Linked DNA regions of Oryctolagus cuniculus. The protein of the gene in region 1 purifies or fractionates together with the protein of each later gene. This does not show direct contact. Links are inferred from orthologs where the notes say so. Each region holds a gene or a part of one and is shown on either strand. Other genes may lie near its edges.

What was found. The genes of interacting proteins can lie anywhere in the genome.
Region 2: the proteins of TRAF3IP2 (region 1) and IKBKB purify together in Homo sapiens (affinity purification with western blotting; 3 studies listed by BioGRID, with this or other methods). This does not show direct contact. The link is inferred for Oryctolagus cuniculus from reciprocal best matches to the Homo sapiens genes TRAF3IP2 and IKBKB.

What each region holds. Positions count from the first base shown.
Region 1 is NC_091436.1:59,984,069-59,987,814, reverse strand, and holds the start of TRAF3IP2 (E3 ubiquitin ligase TRAF3IP2), read right to left. Parts: upstream 2,426-3,746; 5' UTR 2,229-2,425; intron 1-2,228. UniProt on the Homo sapiens protein: E3 ubiquitin ligase that catalyzes 'Lys-63'-linked polyubiquitination of target protein, enhancing protein-protein interaction and cell signaling. Transfers ubiquitin from E2 ubiquitin-conjugating enzyme UBE2V1-UBE2N to substrate protein.
Region 2 is NC_091433.1:92,513,570-92,517,215, reverse strand, and holds part of IKBKB (inhibitor of nuclear factor kappa-B kinase subunit beta), read right to left. Parts: intron 2,079-3,646; exon of another isoform or gene 1,489-2,078; coding exon 1,398-1,488; exon of another isoform or gene 742-1,397; intron 492-741; coding exon 426-491; 3' UTR 1-425.

The DNA.
Region 1 (3,746 bases):
AGATTTCCATTCTGGGAGGGGCAAAACGTAGATTTAATTTAGACAAACTACCTTGCCATGATCTATCTTTCTGAGTGCCTATTAAAGAGCGCCCACGAATATGACTGCCTCCTCCTCCTCTTTTAATTTTCAGAGCATCTGAAAGTCACTAACTCCTTGATCCTGGGAGAAGCAGCCATTAACTCTTGCCATCTTAGCACCCTCCGAAAATGCATAGCCCTGAGTGAAGAATCTTTCTCCCCGACTTGAGCGTACCATGCCCAGCCTCAGCAGCCCACGCAGCAGAGTAACGGTGCCATGCCACCTCCCCCCTCTCCCCCCATGAACAAAGACTGGGGTGGCTTTTGTGGATCAAAGCTAGGCTGGCAACCCAACAACTAGCCTGATTTCAGAAAATACTGCGTCCTTACTTGAAAGTAAAACCAGGAACTCATCGCATTGAAAATATCTTGCCATTGCTGGCTTCTCCCATCGCGGGATGGTGGTGGGGGGATAGAGAAAGGCCACAGCAGGGTCTTGATACCCCCCACAGAAACAGGTTAGCCTTTCTGAAGCCCTGCACCAGCCCCACCCATCAGCTAGAGCCTGGACTGACAGCGAGTAATCATCCCAAGGAAGCAACAGCCATGCAAAAAACACAGTGGTGCTTTGGAAAAGGTTAAGAAGTCCATGTACACGCCCTCTAATGATGCATCTCGTCACAGTCATCACCCTCACGAGGGGTCAGCATGTGTCTCACCGTTTCCTTCCCATCCCGCTAAAGGCCCCCACACACTGACTGCTGGGGCAGGGGTGGTTTCCAGCTCCTGAGGAGCGGGCAACGCTGGCTCCCGGAGCCGGGGTGCCTGCCAGTTCTCTGGCCCATGTTGATTTTGGTAGCAAATGTGTGGGGACGATCCTTCCTTCCTGGGTAACCCAAATAGGATGTGAACTAACTCAAGAAATCCCTGGTTTTCTCCATTATTGTCCAGAACTAACACTGGTGCCTACAGTCAAGGCAGCCGGGCCCCGGGTGACTTGCCTGGGCCCCCGTGCCTCGCTCCAGCTTTTGGCCTGGAGAGCAGAAAGTCAGGAGGAGGCAGAGCCCCTGTGAGGCCTTTGATGGGTGCTGGCTTGAGGGGAGGGGTGCAGGGAGGGCAGAAAAGTACGAAGGAACCAAGTCCTTTTCCTCCACGGGCTAACGAACTGGTAGCAGGACGTAAAATTTATATAGGTGAATTATCAGCGAACAAAACAATCTTCTAAGACCACCCACTACGGCTACCCCTCCGGGAGTACCTTACCCTTGTTTTGTTAGAAGAGAATTTAGACCTGGTGAGTTCACCCTCCACCCGCCCTGCCCCCAAACACTTGACTATGAAGAAATCCAGGCTCCAGGAGCCAAAATCAATTGCCTAAGTCATGGCACTCCAAGGAGTGGAGCAAGAACTTGAAACCAACTTTCTCGTCTTCCTTTGTATTATTTATTTGGCCTCTTTCCTCCAGTTCCTTTAAAATAATAATAATAATAATAATAGCCTCCTAATCCACAAGACCACCTTGAACTTGAAACTCCCAGGAAGCCTGATCAGCTTCTAAGGTCAAGGACTAGCATTTATCCCCTTCGCTGGTTGCTTTTAGCGCCAGCAGTGGTCTGGACCGCTGCTTGGGAGGCGGGTGGGGGCTGCGGGGGAGAGGCCCGGGAGGCAGCTCGCAACTTCCTGGCCCAAGAATGTCATGTTGATTTTTTTTTAAAACCCCCCCCACCCCCGCAGGAAACTGGGATAGAGAAAATCTGGGAGTTTTCCTTCCCAGGCTGCCGCTGGCTGACGTGTTCTGAGGCTGGAAGCCAATGACTTAATCCTTGCCATCCCTGGCTCCCTCCTCGGAGAAATGGGGCTTGATTTCTTGCTCGAAACTTGTGGGGACACCAAGTACCTAAACAAATGGTTCCCAGGCAGCTCTGAAAAGTACCGGCGTGCGTGCCTCCTCTCCCCCAAACAGCTCATCGCGCCTGGCCCGTCTGGAACCCTAAACCAGCGGCACGTTCCCGAAGCACAGAGTCAGCTGTCATTTTCCCAGCCCCAGCCGCTCTCCGCACGAACAAGTGAAGTTTCAAGGCCGGCAGGGGCGGTAGGCAGAGGCCAGGAAGGCGGAACGTTTCAAGAGAGGAGAAAAGACAGCGTTTTGGAAAATGGGTCAGTGGTGAAGCAATCAGGCCGGCGCGCAGCAAAGCCGGGTAAACTTACCTTAGAACCGCCACGGCCGGACAGCCCGGGGCCCCAGGGTCGTCGGCCTCTCCAGGTTCTCCGCGGCAGGTGCCTCCCTCCGCCCTCCCCAGGCCCAGGTAAGTTGAAGAGCAGGATCTGAAGCCGGAAGTGGAAGTTGTATGCAAATCTCTACGGAGGCTAGGAAGCTTCGGCTCAAAATCTCCCTGTGGGCAGTGAATCAACGGGCGAGGAGTCACTTTATTTCTTAAAACAGAAACCTCCTGCGTTCACTAGAGAGGGCCAGTGGCCAATAAGGCTGCGTTTTTGGTGTGTGTGTGTGTTTTTTTTTTTTTATGTCACCACCCAGCTAAGAGGCTGCGGAGGAATATGGGGCCCGTGGTGTGACGGAGGGGCCGTGGCCTGAGAAGGTGTCTCCAGGACCCGAGGAGATGGGGCAGATACTGGGGAGGGGTGTGTCGCTAGAGCTTCTTTCTGTCTCCTGGGACTGCTTAAAACACCAGCATTTGCTCCAATAACCGTGGACGGGGGACTCACTGCCTGTGTTCCCACACTGCTCACGGGCACACACACACACAGAGTCCTCCCCTGGCGGCATTTTTCTTCTTTCTTCATTTTTTCTTTTAAAGATTTATTTGTTTGAAAGGCAGAGTTACAGAGAGAAGGCCAGAGAGCGAGCTCTCTATCTTCCATCTGCTGATTTATTTCCCCAAACGGCCGCAACAGCCAGGACTGCGCTAGGCTGAAGCCAGGAGACTGGATCTCCATCAGGATCTTCCATGTGGGTGGCAGGAACCCCAAGTACTTGGACCATCTTCCACTGCTTTCCCAGGTACATGAACCGGGAGCTGGATCAGAAGTGGAGCAGCCAGGACGCGAACTGGTGGTCATATGGGATGCCTGCATCACTGGCAGCAGCCTAACCCACTGCTCAGGCCCTGGGGCCCCTGGCTGCATCTTCCACAACCTCGTTGTTTAAACCCTACGGGATTTATCATGCGGAAGAGCTGCTGGGAGCAGGCTGATACCACAGCAATGCGCGGGGACGTGAAGATGGCTAACATGGAAGGCAGCACAGGTGCCAGGCGCTTTGGAGGGAGACCGAGGGAGGTACAAACCCAGCCGTGGCACTGGGCCACTTGCGGTGCTCCTGGGGCTGAACTTGTCTGCCTGTTGGGGAACTCTGAGGGTCAGCTCCCTGAGCTGGCTCAGTCTCCACCCTCATGTGCAAAACACTCCCTAGAGCACCCCACCCGACGGGGCTCAGCAAGGACATGTGAGTCAGGTTTTCTATGTCCTAAAAGTAGGAGACTATGAGGGGACTTCAGGAAGTTCAGGGAAAATGGAATGGAAAGATAAAAATTTTAAATATAAACTTCATTTCCCAACATAAACTCTACCAACTTCAAGACATTTTTGTCAATAATACCAGCCAGTTAGTCCATCCCTAAGGAGCTGAGAGTCCTGAGAATTTGTCCCGAAGCAGTCTTTCCCACCATTGACTGGAAGCAAATGAGTGCCCTTTAAAGTGTGTGCTTG
Region 2 (3,646 bases), on another chromosome or scaffold:
GAATCCAGATGAGACACTAGCTGTGAGGTGATGGAGCACAGGCGGCTCGGGCCTCTGGAGCCGGGGGCGGAGTGGGGGTCAGGAGGGGACAGGCCCGCACCAGGTGCCGCCCAGACTGTTCCGAAAGGTTCCCGTGCAGGCACCGCCTGTGGTGTGCCGGGCACACTGTACCTTGAGCACCTTCTTCATGGTGGAGGAAGCAGCTGCTGTGGCTTCGCTTCCCTGGGTGCTCGAGACAGGCCTCAGCGCTGGCCAGGCCTCTGGGATGAGGGCTTCCAGTGTGCAGACGACGGGCCGGCACTGCTTGCTGAGGGCCACGCCTTTGGTGCAGGCGAGCGCCCCGGCGGCTGGGAAGGGGACAGCCCTGTCTGGGCCCTGGGCACGGCACGGCAGGAGCCGCTGCAGGAGAGCCGCCGCCACGTGGGTCACACCGCCTGCTCCGGCCTGCTCTGTTCCTCCTCCTCCGGCTGTAACCAGCTCCAGTCAAGAGTCTGAAAGGCAACAGGCCTGTTACCCGCTCGGCCGCCAGCGAGACCACCGAGGACGCAGCCAGCACAGGGCGGGAGTACACCTAAACCCTTGTGCTGGCAACACTCCTGTGACGGCAGGGACCCCGAGCTAGGCCATACAGGGCTGTTCTCTGGACGAGCTCAGAGGCCCCACAATTCTGTGCTACAGAAACTGGGAAGGTGATGCCGCACTACTTGCAGCTCACAGCCCTGATTTTGACGCTCTCTGCAGGGCCGGCCCAAGCGGCCTGAGGAGACGTCCTCTGGCGAAGAGCAGGTGAGCTGTTCAGCCCCAGGAGCAGTGCAGCGAGAGACACAGCAAGCCCAGGAACCGGAGAGGACACCTCAACAGACCAGAGGTGACTGCTGCCGTCCTCTCGGACTCCTCGGAAAACGTACAACCCCTGCAGGAGGCTGGGAGGCGACTCAGAGGTCTACGAATGCCTCTGGGTCCTCGCGGCAAGTTCAGCTTTGTCGCACTGTCCTTACATCTTGTTTTTCTCCAGGTTAGTTCCCGGGACTAATACCGCCTGCCACTAAGCTCTGAGTGTCTGAGGGGTGGGACCACGACAGGCTCCTGCTTTGTCACTAGAGCTGAGCAGGGTCCCCACCACAGATGTTCAGCAGTGGCCCAAAGGCAGGGTGGGGCAAGCCTTCCGGGGATATACTCCCTTGCTCATCAGGACTCTGCGTCACGAGGATTAAGTAAGGTAACACTCACAACGTTCCTACACACATTCAGTAACAGCCGCCTATCAGTATGAACAGGACACGCATAGAGAACCACACACACACGCTGAGGTGGAGGGTGACCCAGCCGCCCCTCCCACTTTCTCTCCTGTGCCGTGGAGACAGGGCTTGGACAGCTGGGTTCGCACGGGCTGTTACCATGAAACTCTGGTCCTGCTCCTTCACGGTGTCCTGCATTGCGCTTTCCAGCTGGGTGCAGAGAGAATGCGCTTCAGCCACCAGGTCTTCACTAGAGAAAACGACCAAACTCTTAGGCAGTGGGCACTGTCAGTTAGCAGAGCTGACACTACTGTTTTAAATAGGCTAACAAGCTTTTGACAATAATTTAAAGATGACGCCCCAACTGTTTGACCCTGGGTGTCTGAGACCACCACCACGGCACTGGGTAGAGACCACATTGTCTCCTCAGGCACTGGTCAGGGGCCCAACGCAGCCATGAGCATCACCGGTCAAGACGCGAAGGAGCAAACAGATCTCTGATAAAAAGTCGGGAGGAAAGGAGCTCTTCCTGGGGCTGGTGCTGTGGCGCAGTGGGTTAACGCCCTGGCCTGCAGCGCCGGCCTCCCATATGGGCACTGGTTCTAGGCCCGGCTGCTCCTATTCTGATCCCGCTCTCTGCTATGGCCTGGGAAAGCAGTGGAAGATGGCCCAAGTGCTTGGGCCCCTGCATCTGCATGGGAGACCCCGAGGAGGCTCCTGGCTCCGGATCAGGTCATCTCCAGCCGTTGCGGTCATTTGGGGAGTGAATCAGCGGAATGGAAGACGTCTCTCTGTAACTTTTTCAAATAAATAAAGTAATTCTTAAAAAAAAAAAAAAAAGAGCTCTTTCTGACCTACCACATATTACAAGTTAACTCTCCAAACTGCCAGAGCCTAACGCTATCTCCCAAATCACCTGATTTCCAATTTCCTGAGACCTGCTGAAAACCAAGCTCTGGGACGTGATTCCGCCTGATGCGACCTCCCTGAGTAAGCTCAGGAACGGGCCCCAGCGGGAAGAGGAGAGTACAGGAAGTAATGCTTCCTTCTCAGACCATCGCCTCTGCACTCCCAGGCCTTTAGGGCCCTCAATGCTGAGTATGTCCTCACTCTGCCAAATACAGCATTCCAAGGAGCCTGGAGCGCGTCCGCTAAACGCCGTCCACAGGCCGCCAGCTCACAGCTCAGTGCCAGCTCCAGAGGGCAACAAGGGAGGCCACGCCCGCTTGCTCTTCCCCAGGGGCTCACAGAGGCCGAGGAGAGTAAGAACCTACGGTCACGTCAGGGCGGGCATTTGGCACCACGTTTACGGTACCACTTGGGACACTTGCTGTTACCGGCATTTGGGGAGTGAACCAGTGTGGGGAGATCTCTCTAGGTCTCTATGCCTTTCAAAAACAAAACCACAATCTGTCGTCCTGTAGGATTAAGTACCAAAACAGGCTACAAACACTCCAAGGACAGAAACAGATTTTTAAGAACAGCCTGAGATAATCATTTGTATACCACAAAGCTCACCTGCTTAAAATGTACAATTCAGTGGCTTTAGCATATTCACAAAATCACGCAGCTATCAGCATATCTTGTTTCAGGACATTTTCATCCTCCCTGAAGGAGACCTTCCGCCTATCATCAGGCACTGCCCACCACCCTCTCCGCCTGCCTGAGGGACTCGTTCATCTACTTCCTACTCCCAGAGATTCGCCTGCAGGAATAGATTTTAACGTCTCCAGCACCCAGTGTCTGGCATACAAGAGATGCCGAATGAAAGCCCCATAGGAAGAGAGCGCTAGCATGTGCCCGGGTGCCCAAGGCTTCCAGTGTGGTGGATGCAGAGAGACGCAGACGTGGCATGGTGAGGGGAGGGACACCTGTGGCTGAGCTGGAGTACTGCGTCCCAGGCTTCACGTGCGTCAGAATCGACCAGGGGGCGCACCAAACGCAGACTTGCTGGGCCTCAGCCAGAGCTTGTGATTCCAAGGAAGACTGGCTGGGCCTCAGCCAGGGCTTGTGATTCCAAGGAGCCCGGGTGGGATGGGAGAAGGGCCATTCCCACAGGACTGCGGGTCTGGGTGGGACTAAGAAGCGGACTAGCACAGGGGCGAGCAGAACGGTGCGCAGATCCACGTGGAGGTGGCCACCACCGCCCGAGGAAGTCCAGACCCGATCTCTGAGATGGGGAGGGGAGTGAGAATGAGCTGCTGCCCACGAGATGACTCGGCTGCGATTCGGGGAAGACTGATCTGGCAGGAGAGGGCTTGGCGGCAGCGAGGAACAGGAAGCCGGACATGGGGAGCCCTGCAGGGAGGGCCTGGCCCGTTCTGTCCACCTGCAGTGCGCTGGATCAGGCAGGGGGACCGAAGAGGGGACGAGAGGCACCGAGCAGCTGGGTAACTCAGGGAGAGGTG